2 linked regions of the Oryzias latipes genome follow. The protein of the gene in region 1 binds, or shares a complex with, the protein of each later gene. Links are inferred from orthologs where the notes say so. Each region holds a gene or a part of one and is shown on either strand. Other genes may lie near its edges. The genes, in order: pink1 and tomm5.

Region 1 (6,563 bases):
TCCCTACCATGACAAAGGTGGATAAAGGTGGAAAGATTTCATGTAATCCATGGACACCAGTGAAGATCACAAATCATTGATGAAAAAAGGTTCAGAGCACTGTCTAGTGGGTCTACATGACCCAACTCCCAATGTTAAAGTGCCTAAAATAGCACAAGGGTTACATTGAGCATTTGTTGTAACTGCAGGATTTTTCTTGGGGTTTGGTTAGCTCCTGTAAAAATAATCATATCACATAAAGGTGTATAACTTATACTATAAGAAATCTTTTCCATCTGCCATTTAACCCTTGTACTATCCTATGGGGTCAAGATGACCATTGACGTGTTCTCCCTACCATGATAAAGGTGGATAAAGGTGAATAGGATTTCATGTAATCCATGGACACCAGTGAAGATCACAAATCATTGAAGAAAAAAGGTAAAGAGCACTGTCTTGTGGGGTCTATGTGACCCAACTCCCAATGTCAAAGTGCCAAGGATTGCACAAGGGTTGAAGGTGTTTTTTTTTCTTCTTACTTAAAAATCTGCTGATTTGTACTATTGAATAGCTGACACTGCAAATATGAAGAAAACGTTTACAGCTGACTATAACAGTCTGACATTGGCTAAAAGTAAACACTACTTCTTGTGTCCTCACAGGGCGACTCCGGGGGTCCGCTTGTCTGCAATGATTACTTTGAGGGTATTGTGTCCTGGGGCATCAGCTGCGCTAACCCATACTACCCCGGCGTCTACACCAAAGTGAGGCAGTACGTCAAATGGATCAACTGGATTATTAACAATGACTCTCCATGAGCCGTCACTGAAAAGCTTGTTCTCAATATTGCTTCTATTGTTTGATGTAAAGGTAACCTGTTGATCAAAGTTATGTCAAAAGGGGATTTGGGGTCAGTTTTTTTCCACAATATATTGTCCCTCGTCAATACATGACATTGAGAAGTATCTGTAGAGGTCAAAGGTTAGTCAGTTAGTGGAAACTTTTAAAATGACTCATTTGACTCAAATCACAGATACAATTTGCCACACAGAAGCTCTTGATTTTGCAACTTTGCACAGAAACACATTGGGACAAAGAATTGACATTTAAACCTTTCTAGTGCTATTACATCTAAAAGACAATCCAGAATAAAGCATCTGATGACAACAAAGATGAGCTGTTTGTTTTATTTTTCAAAGTGTTTCCATTTTCTTCAAGCATTTTATTTTATTCCTCATCATAAAAAATAATAAAAAATTAAAGAAGATCTCTGCCTCTGAAATATGTTTTAGGAAATACAGAAGACCCAGCATGGTTGGTGACTACCTGAACCTATAATAATTCATAACCAAAATTACTCACCATAAAACACATTTTAGACTGCTCCTTTAGGAAATATTTAAAGATGCCAGACATTTCTGACCTGTAAGTGTTATAAAAAATCAAATATCTGCTTCCAAAACCTTTGTTAGATAGGTTGCATAAATAATTAAACGTTAATGAGATTGCTTTATGTGATGAATATCTTTTTTTTTGGTCCAGGAAATTTCTTTCCGTCATCTATATTCTTAAACTGCTGAATCCCTTTTGGGGTTGCTGGAACGTTCCGACTCATGTTGAACAAAGGCGTGGTGCATCCTGGACCAGTCGCTAGTCAGCAAGGCTCAAGAACATTCTTTTTTCTCTGTAATCTTTGAGGGCAAGATTTTTTACCCATAATATACACTGAAAATGCACAGAGGCTTGTTTGGCCATGAGATACTGAAAAACAAAACCCAAGCATCAAAAAATCTCCTTAAAAGAAAAAAGGAAAAACAAACCAAAGCCAAATTGCAGAAGCATAATATCGATTAATAATTTAATTTAAATATATGAATGAATTAAGGAACAGTGATGTTAGTATTGTTCATATTTATAACAAGGATCATGGTCATAAATGTAAGAATTGATGTTATTGTAGGGATTTTGAATAAGCACAGACGTAACAATTTCATGGTGAAAATAACAATAGAAGGAGTAATAGGACTGATTTTGATTTTTAATAACCTATGTGTGCATTTCCATTAACACAAAAATTAATATGACCTTGATATGGTACCTGCAACTGTACCTGTAAAAGTTTTTTCACTCATAATTCAAAGTGACATGCAATTCTCAATAGGCAATTCAATTTTCCATTTGATCACACATTTTGCAATTGGCATTTCAATGCATTTTGTGATTTAGAATTCAAAATGAACAATAATTAAAATTAACTGTCACGGTTTTTTGATACTACAATTCAAATAAAATGCATTTTGCAACTTTTAATTAATTATGCTTTTTTATTATTTTATCATTATGAATTCTAAATCGCAAAATGCATTTTAAACTGGGACTAAACAGGGATATGGTCAATTCAGAATTGAATATTACTTTGAGTTATAGGTGAAACAAAACTTCCATATCTTAGAGACTTAGGGACATAGTCTGGAAACCCCCAGAGAAAACAAAGTTCTAACATTGAGGGAAAGAATAATTACAAATAAAAAAAATGTGTTAATCAAGCTAATGTTGTTAGCTGATTTAGATGTATTTATGCATTTGTCATCATATACTGTGTTAAAAATAACTTTTATTTCTGTCACATCATTCCTTTAACCTTCCAGTGCAAATTCTGACCAAAGCTCAGCAGGAACCTCCAAGTCCTACCCTGCGTCTATGGTCCTGCTTCAATAATACAGTTTTTATGTCACAAATAAACTACTTATCATTATAAAGACAAAAGAAGAAAATTAAAATTAATATCCAAAGAAAATAATTAACTTTCCTTAAAATGCACTGGTATTTTCCCCGCCCCTTTAAAATCATTCTGCCAATCCTGCCTGTTTCTCAGGATGGGTCAAGGGGATGAATATGATGCATTCAAAGTATATCCGTAACTAGAAAAAAAAAACAATGATGCTGGGATCCAAACAGCTCTAACTCAGTTTGTTACAACAATTACCGTTAATTAAAAATATAGACGATAATTTTAACTGCACAACACAAAATAAATGCGCTAAGGTGCTGAGGCCTGAAATATACAGTATTGTGGTTCCCACTCGTTGAAGGGGGCCATGAATGTATTTTATCTAAACCAATGACCATAGGTCCTTTGCGCATGCTCAGTAGCATTTGTTTTGTTTAACTTTGCTCCTCGCGGCAGCTGTTTGAGGCTGACCTGCATTCCCGGGGCTTTAAAACGTTTCTAAAAACCCTTCTGGGCTCACAATGTCTGTTAAACACGCTATTAGCCGAGGGCTGGAGTTGGGCCGGTCGATTTTTCAGCTGGGGGTCCTGAAAGCAGGTAGTCGGGTCGCAGCGAAGCTCCGAGCTGACCGAGTTCGTGCGGGCCCGGCCTTCCGGACCGCTCAGCCTCAGGCTTTCCTGCCTCTCCGATACCGGTATTACCGCACCTCACTGAGGGGTCTGGCAGCTCAGCTCCAGTGGGCTGGCTTCGTTAGGAGGTTTGCCGGAGGTTCACCGCGGAACAGAGCCGTCTTTCTGGCGTTTGGCCTCGGTGTGGGATTAATCGAGAAGCAGATTGAGGACGACAGGCTGAGTTTGGCAACGTGCAATGAGATAAAGGTATGAATTCCTGCTGTCATTTCAGTCTGAGCCTCAGTAGATCTGACATTTTATATTTGCGTTTTTTATAGCGACTGTTTTATGTTAAAACTTACTTAAAAAAATCATCGATTTTACTGTAATTTTATAGAAAAAACAAAATTTAGAACATAGCTGTGTAAATCTGTTGTTCAAATAAAATAAATTGACAAGTTTAATTCTTTCATTTATTGGGTCCAATGAGGTTAGTATTTATTATAGTAAAATATGTATTAATTAATCATTTTTTATCTATTTTAAAAGCGTTTCCAGTGGTCTTTTCATTAGGATTATTCCATTTAAAAAACGTTTGTTTTCTTGGACGTAGTGTCTGCAGTAGTTTATTAGAAATTCACCCCTGAGTTGTGGGCGGGACTGTTGCCACGGAGCAACCCCGCCCCCTTTCCTCTCCCAATTGCAGAGAGCTCTCTGTTTACATGCTCTCCCGCTAGCTTACAGCCCCCACACCCTCATCCCTAGCAGAAATGGTGAGCAATATTGGAGCTATCCAGAGGTAAACGAACACGGATCTTTGTCTGCAAGTTGTTGCTTTGGAATGGAGCAGAGCAGGCAGCTTGTGACCTGCCCAGCATGTTTTTTACATCACAAATACGATATTTTTTCAAACGGCATTGTTTCGTCTGCTCCTGATACATGTCAATGTGAAATGAACCGACAGTACAAGCTCATCCCTGGAAGTGACAAACTAAGTTATGCTGCAACTGACAACAACACAAACTTAAACTTTAGAATAGAATATAACTTTATCAATCACTTGTTACAACCTCTTTTGACAACGGCAAATAAATAACAAAAAAAAAATAAAACACTAGAAAAATGAATAACAATAACTATTGACCAGTGTCAGGTGTTAGAGTCTAATATCTGACAGGAGGAACGATCTGCAAAAGCTCTCATTCCTGTAGCTAAGTGTTCAAGTCTCTGACTGAAGGAGCTCCTCAGTGCACCGATTGCAGTAAATCCTGATGATGAAGAGGAATGTCCAGAATGGAGCTGGATCTTCACACTGTTCCTGTCAGTGCCATCATGAAATCTCTACAAGAGTCCTGCAATTTCTGAAGGACCTCAGTCTCCTTAGCCTCTCCTGCCCTCTGGTCGCTTCTCTAGCAGCATTTTGTTGTTGCCAAGCAACAACAACTGATTGTGTAAATCAGCGGTGTCAGAATCCAGGCCGTGAGGGTCCAACATGTTTTTCAAGCAACCTGCCATTGAAGCTCCTTATTGGCTAAACACACCTGATCCACAAGTCATCAGCAGCAGCAGCAGATAAGGCAGGATTTTTGGGAAACCAGCAGGAGGCCGGCCCTCGAGGCCTGGAGTCTGACACCCCACCCCCCCACCCCCCCCTCTGCTGTAAATGATGCACCTGCAGCCCGCTTGAGACCCAGAAGGGGTGGAAATTAGCCCAAAAAGGGGTGACATGCATGCCATCACACTGATTATGTGAAAAAATATCCATGTCCATCAAAAAGAGGTCAATAATATGAAAGTAACAAAACAAAAACAAGGAAGTTAGCCTGAAGGAAAGTAGAGTAAATGTAAACCCATTAGCAGTAGTTTTAGCAAAAATAACTGGTTTGATGCTATTAGGTTTGTATGAATTCATGAGACAATTTTAATCAATGATACCACGCTGGTAGTTTGTCAAGCTTCTTAAATCTCAGAGCATCGGCTTCTACAAGGCTGTTTTAGTGTTAAAAGTTAAGTGTATAATTGTAGATTTCAAAAGGACACTTCATTTACATACCAAAGTAAAGACTTTGAACTCTGCTTTAATGAAACCTGAATCTAATTTCTCCTGAACTGCAGGCGGTGTTCAGAAAGAAGAAGTTCCAGAGCCCGCTCAAGCCCTTGGCCTATGGATACAAACTGGAGGATTACATTGTAGGAAACCAGATTGGGAAAGGATCCAACGCAGCTGTGTATGAAGCTGCACCTCAGTTTTTCTGCTCCAAGAAAAGCGATGGTGAGCCCGCCGCGGTGCAGATACGAGACAGTGAGGGCGAGGAAGGAAATCGCGTCATGCCATCTCTGAGTTGCTGCTCTCTAAGGAACTTCCCGCTGGCAATCAAGATGCTGTGGAACTTTGGGGTGGGTCATGGCCAGCACCCATGTATGTGGGGAGGGGAAGAAAGGTCGCTTTCTGACCGGTGTTGTGATTCTATGTGTTTGCAGGCAGGGTCATCAAACGAGGCGATCTTTAGATCGATGTCCCATGAGCTGGTTCCCACAGACCCCCTCGCTCTGGCGCCAGCAAAACAGCAACTTACTTTAGACGGGTAAATATGTTAACGAAGTCAAAGGGCTGCAACGAATCATTACTGAACCTGATCACTAGCCACAGTTGGGTGTGTTTTATTCGGGAGGAGGATGATCGGTTAGCATGACACTTGAATAACACACTTGAGGTACCGTAACTCTTCCACCATTTACGTGACCAACTTGTATCAGCTGATTCTGACGTGGAGATAAGCGGCTTTTCTTAGCGGCTTTGCATAGATATGTAACGTATTATGAACGTAAAGGGTTGCATCACAGCAATTTAAAAAGATGACAAAATCCATCAGAGTGTATAGTGGCAGATATGAGGCCATACTGCCTTGTGGAGAACAAGGGATTTGAATATATACCGTAAAAGAACAAGCAAAATCCCATCGCAACACAAAAATCATTCTAGAATTTTAAGAGCATGTAGAAGAATTATCTAGTCCAGAGGTTCTCAAAGTGCGACCCGGGGGCCAATGGTGGCCCGCGGGAAGATTTTTTTGTGGCCCTCGATAAAAGAGAGCCAGAGTAGGTTCCTTTGAGGAAAAACGTGTTGGCGAGGAGAAAAGGCGCTTTCAAGCTAAGTGGACAAATGCTTACTTTGTCGTACCTCATGGGCTGGATAAAGTCATGTGCCTTATTTGCAAGCAAAAAAATCATCACTATGTCAC
Region 2 (5,848 bases), on another chromosome or scaffold:
AACTGTACAGCTAGATAGCTCCAATATTACTCACTATTTTTGTTAGATCAGGTTGGGGTTGTGAGGGTTGTAAGAGGGTTGTGAACAAATGGATGATGGGAAGTAAGGGTAGGCTTACTCTGGACCAATGGTCAGAGCCACAACTCAGAGGCGAATTTCTAACAAACTACTGCTGCTCTTCAAAAACTGTCTTAAAAACGACAAGTTTTTTTTTTTTGCCTAAAAATGACATAATCATGATAAAAAAGACCACTAGGAATGCTTTTACAATAGATCAATAGGTAGTGGGGTGCGACTTTAATATTTAAAAAAAATGTGCAGAAGAAGGGAAATAAATGACATTTTTTCACAAGCTTTATGATGTTTTCAAGCTGAAGCTCTTCCCTCTAAAGATGTTTACGCTATACAGTCACATTAAGAGAGCTGCCCTACATTGTGGCACCCCTGCCAGTCAGCTGTGCAATCATCATGGGGCTGTCACATCAATGAGGTCAGGTCTCCTTTTTATTCCTTTCATGAACAATACTGGTGTACTTTCAGAGGGGAAATTTGTTTCCACGGAAACCAAAAACAACTGTTGCTAATCAATTTACTGAATTGGGTTTGATCAATGAATCACTTTCATTTTCATCAATGAGAGGAAATGTGATGAGATGTGTTAATCTGCCTCTCAATACGAGGCTGGAGGGCCCGCCATCACAGACATCACAGTTTGGAGACATGAAGCTGAGCGTGAAGATGGGGAGAGAGAGAGAGAGAGAGAGAGAGAGAGAGAGAGAGAGAGAGAGAGAGAGAGAGAGAGAGAGAGAGAGAGAGAGAGAGAGAGAGGAGAGAGAGAGAGAGAGAGAGAGAGAGAGAGAGAGAGAGAGAGAGAGAGGAGAGAGAGAGAGAGAGAGAGAGAGAGAGAGAGAGAGAGAGGAGGACTGGCTGACTGGCTGGCTGGAGAAAGTGGGGCAGAAGAGCAGCCGGCAGAGTAGATCCAGGCTAATGCTGTCATGCAAGCATCAAGTCTGTCCTGATGTGCGAGTTCTGCCCGTTGTGATTTTCCTCTGGCGGAGTGACCTCAGAGCAAGTCGCATCACATGGATGGAGCGCACATTCCTGAGTCACAACACAAATGCCCGCAGCATAGGACAGCTCTCACAAACACGCGCGCGCACAGACAACACCTAAATGGCAGATGGAGCTCAAAGCGCGCAGCATATGATGCCGTTAAATACCGCAGACTCGGTCGCAGAGCTGCGTGGGATCACAGAAGTCTGAAGCGCGATGAGCGGTCAGATTGTGTCACGTCATGCATTAAACGAAGGCCCCAGAACAACAAAAACGCATTGTTCCGGTCTAGTTGTCTGGTGCTGCGTTTGACATGCCCCGCACGGCACGGAGAAAGCGCAGCACAGAGGGTTAAATAAATAAATAAAAGACACAGGAAAGACAAAGTAAAAAAAAAAGATGTGCGTGTGTGGTACCCAGCGTACTGGCATCCCCATATCCGTGCGTATTTATCCAATCCGCGATCAGTGACGGTGACTCCACTGCGCAGACGAAAGCGCAGATTTCCAACCCTGCTGCTCCAGACATGTGTTGGCAAATATGGAGATTTCAATATAGTAGAGTGGTCGGATTGAAATCGCAGCTGTATTTAGGCTATAAGGCGCTATAACGCGGTAACGCGGAGATCATGGATCTTCTACTCCTTGATGTTTTATTAAGATGATCTGTCTCCACATATTTTTACAGTATAATCATTCCGATCAGTGGTCACAGCCATGCCCTATAGGAGGCCAAACAAAGACGAATAAGTGGTCAGTCTGTTGTAGCTTTCTTTCTAATCTTAATCGGATTTAAATCTTACCACCATCTCCCTCGCACCCTCACCCGCCTTCAGTCAGGGTGGAGTTGATCGTCAACTCAATCTCTCATTTCGATACGAAGGAAATTATCCCCCCCCCCCCCCCCCCCCCCCCACACACACACACCACAAAAGCAGAGCTGGACGGACGCAGGGTGGACACGCGCTCATCAGACAATAACCGAGTGGGGCTCACCTCGTGGTTTGATGAGGAGACAGACAGACGCAGCGCGCGTCTGTCTGGGAGATCACGGGAAAAATCGAGATCGATTGATGCCTCCAAAATATCCGCCCCGGCCAGATGATGGTGGTGGCCCTGGCTGCGTGCTGGATGCTGTCATCGGGGCTGCTCTCTGCTCTAATCCGCGGCCCTGAGCTCAGGAACAACCCACCCCTCCTCCCCCTCCTCCTCCTACTCTGGGCTCCCTCTCTCCTCCCAACCTCCATCGCTGACTGCTGAACACCCCTCCTCCTCTCCTCCTAAAGGTCGTTAAAGCTTTTAAAGTAGTTTTAATTAAATAATATAGAACTAAAAAGAAGATTTGGAGTAAAAAAAATAAAATAAAATAAGACACAGTGAGACCAATTATCTTTCTAATAAACAGTTGATATTTCCATCGATAAAAATTACGTGTCGATAATAAACAGTATGAAATTAAATTTCTGGAACTTCTTGATAAAAAAAACAAATTTTTCCCCCCAGAAATAATTATCCAGAAATCTAGTTTAGCCAAATAAAGCAACACCCAAAAGTCCCACTTTGTGTGTCACGTCCACTAAAATGCACCCAAATCATCTGAATAATTTTATTACGAATTTCTAGATGTAAAATGTTAAATTATTCATTTTATTTTATTTTATTAGTGTTTGAAAAAAACGGGGGCAATACCATCGACATAAATAAAGTACGTAAAACGTAAAAAACAGTAAGAGGGAGGAAAATGCCCCCATTCATTTGGCTCAAATAAATGTTTATATTTAAGAAATGTTATTTTTAACCTAAGATAAACATTCAACTCAATAGAAAGAACACTGTTTTTAAATCTAAACACATTTTAATATCACAACAAAAAATGATACCTGAAGGATAAACTACTGAGGAAATTTAAATAAATCCAAAATTTAGAAAGAAAAAAAGATCGCTAAAACAAAAACAGCGATCACCTTGGCGAGTGCGGTTTGACCCTCCGAGGCTGCCATTCTACGTCAGCTGTGACGTATTTCCTGCCAGACTTCGTCCACCCCGTCGTCGCAAAGCTATCGACGGAAGAAATTTGACCCCAAAAAGGTTTTTAACCAAAGCTGAAATGTTTAAACTTGAAGGACTCGGTCCGAAAATGGACCCAGAGGAGATGAAAAAGAAAATGCGAGAAGACGTCATTTCCTCTGTACGGAACTTTCTTCTTTACGTCGCTCTGCTCAGAGCCGGTAAGCGTCCGCAGGTCACAATCTGTACTGACTTCTACACGTGTTTCCTCCTTTATTTGTTGTCATAGCATCGTTCTATCTCCGTGATCGATTATTAGTCTGTTCACACTGGAAGCACAAGCTGATTTTAAACACTAAAACAAAACAGGGATAAAACAGTTAAGTTCTCCTCTTGAGTGATTTGTTGATTTCTTATGTTAAATTAGAAAATTATGCATTCAAATTTGATTAAAATTAGTCTAATTTTCTATTAAAGGTGATATTTTTTAAATGCACATTTGCTTTTATGAATCGTAATTATTGAAAATAAAGATTAGCCTAGTTTATCATTAAAATAATAACGGTTCAATGTCAAGCTGTTTAAGATTTTATAATTAAAAAAAGTTCTGTTGTAATTGCAGAGATTTTAGGAAGACCTGTTTGTAAAAATTAAATGCTAAAAAACAATAAATTCACTCCACAAACTCAGCCAGAGTTCAAGTTTTTTATCCAAACTCTATTGCCATGTTGTGCAACATCTCAACATCTTTATGTGTTTTTTTTTCTGTCTGCAGCCCCATATGTGCTAAAGAAGCTGGACAGCATATGAGAAGAGGCCGAAGTCCAGCTGGATTTACCACCATCAATCAAGAGATTCCAGCATCAGAGACGGCGAGGACCTGCAGCAGATGTGGGCCATTGAAGCATCTCTTGTTCTTCCATCACTGCTTCAAAGATCTTTTTTTTTTTTTTAGTTTTGTTAAATGTTTTAAATGTCTGTCAGCCTTTATATTTAACACTTACTGTTTGTTAAGTGGAGAGTTCTGTTCAAAGAAATGTCTTTTAGTTGTACCGCTCAATAAATGGAAACAATGGTAATTTATTTGAGCATCTTTTTTATTTTCTTTATTTGTTTTTTTTTTATTCTTTTGTTTTTGTTATTTCGTTTTGCGATAGTGTAAGCAGGCGTAATTTAACAAGCATTTTAAATTCCTTGTTTTTCTCAGTTGTTTAATTTTAGAGCCAGAAGTTTCTTATTCCAGGTGTTTCTGGCTTTAAAAAGCTTCCCTAAAACAATTTTATTAGACCACTATGTTGTCATTCAATTATTAGATTTTTTATTATTTAAAGGTGTGGACGAAATAAAATATTTTGTTTTTCTCTATATGGATAGACATGCCTTTGTCATTGTTTACTTGTACAATGAGATTGAAAGCAGTCACAATATCAAGAAAAGACAGTATGTACACAATTTAAAAATGTCAGTTATGTGCTTACAGTGATTAAACAAAACTGTATATTGCAGATAAAGAAAAAGAAAAATTAAAGCCGTTTAACAAGGAGGTTAAAAAAGTATTGAAGTTTAAAAGAACAAATATGTTAATATAAACATATACAGTACATAGGTATGTGCCAGCACAGGGTGTTAATCCAGGAGTTTACGAGGGTTGTTGCCAGAAAGTTGTTCCCCTCTTCGGCACATCCCATAAGGGGTCGCCACAGCGAAACAACTTTGGGGGAAAAAAAGGGCTGTGTCTGCATTTAAATGAAGAAGCAAAAGCCTGCAGAGGAGTTAGAATTAAGACAATACAATATATGTTTCTATTCAATTTCAAACAAGAGAATTTTTAAAAACAGGTTTTTCTTTATCTTTGCATTAGTTGAGCTTTACCAAAGAATTGTGTATTATTTTTATTTCTAGCTTTTCTTTCCCCCTCCAGCTGGTCTTATAACAAAAAGAATCACCAAATTAATTGTTCTATATTCAGTAAGTAATTGCCAAGTAATTACTGTTATAGCCACTAGGGGGCAGTGTTGTTTAACCAAAGCGTCGATTAGGCAGCGGCATCCGTAACAATGGATGCTGCATCGCTCGGTTGTTTGAACCATCTGGCTTTATAATTACGATAGATCGGTTTTTAATGTATACTATAGTTTAGGCTTCCCTATCCGCTGCGTGGACTCATGTTTTACTTTTTGGAGACTATTCTCGCGTCTCCTCCGCATCCCTCGGTGCTTTTCTGCCCGCCCATTTTCCACAGCATCTCCAGGGCAGCCATCGCAGACGATGCTACTCTGAGCCGTGATCTACGTTTCAGCTGATGCATTGTAGGACTTGTAGGACTGTTTACCTCCTTCATATATTTTTTTCCACAGTAAAGTGGTGACTGTCCAAGAACTGACACTGCAGCAGCAGAGATGGACTTCCCAGGTCATTTCCAGCATATTTTCAGTCAGCTCAACCACCAGCGCCTCCACGCTCAGCTCTGTGACTGTATTGTGGTGGTCGGAGATCAGACCTTTCGAGCTCACCGCTCTATCCTGGCTGCCTGCAGCTCTCACTTCAGGGCTCTCATCAGTTCCTGTGACAGTGCCGACGGAGGATCAGAAGCAGACACATCTGCTGGAAACAGAGATCCCTGTGTGATGGCGCTGGACCCAGAGGTTGTGACCCCCGAGGCCTTTTCAATCCTCCTGGACATGATTTACACCTCAACTCTTTCTCTAGAAGCCTCCAGCGCCATGGATGTTTTGCTGGCCGCGTCACACTTGCATCTCAACACTGTGGTCAAAGCCTGCAAGCTCCAC

The links.
Region 2: the proteins of pink1 (region 1) and tomm5 are in contact, whole or in part, in a cryo-EM structure (PDB 9EII), measured with the Homo sapiens proteins. The link is inferred for Oryzias latipes from reciprocal best matches to the Homo sapiens genes PINK1 and TOMM5. Residues at the interface, in NP_115785.1 of Homo sapiens: Gln484, Ala488, Gln491, Ser495, Lys496, Pro498, Val502, Lys520, Leu522, Lys523, Leu524, Met527, Glu565, Cys568, Gln569, Ala571, Leu572, Leu573, Cys575, Ser576, Trp577, Ala579, Ala580; in NP_001001790.1 of Homo sapiens: Met1, Phe2, Arg3, Ile4, Gly6, Leu7, Ala8, Lys10, Leu11, Asp12, Pro13, Glu14, Met16, Lys17, Arg18.

Annotation. Positions count from the first base shown.
Region 1 is NC_019865.2:23,687,344-23,693,906, forward strand, and holds the start of pink1 (serine/threonine-protein kinase PINK1, mitochondrial), read left to right. Parts: upstream 1-3,119; 5' UTR 3,120-3,231; coding exon 3,232-3,588; intron 3,589-5,436; coding exon 5,437-5,718; intron 5,719-5,802; coding exon 5,803-5,906; intron 5,907-6,563. Other genes in the region: trypsin-2-like, read left to right, coding at 642-797. UniProt on the Homo sapiens protein: Serine/threonine-protein kinase which acts as a sensor of mitochondrial damage and protects against mitochondrial dysfunction during cellular stress.
Region 2 is NC_019868.2:15,855,730-15,861,577, forward strand, and holds tomm5 (mitochondrial import receptor subunit TOM5 homolog), read left to right. Parts: upstream 1-3,052; 5' UTR 3,053-3,159; coding exon 3,160-3,280; intron 3,281-3,834; coding exon 3,835-3,869; 3' UTR 3,870-4,142; downstream 4,143-5,848. Other genes in the region: zinc finger and BTB domain-containing protein 5, read left to right, coding at 5,459-5,848.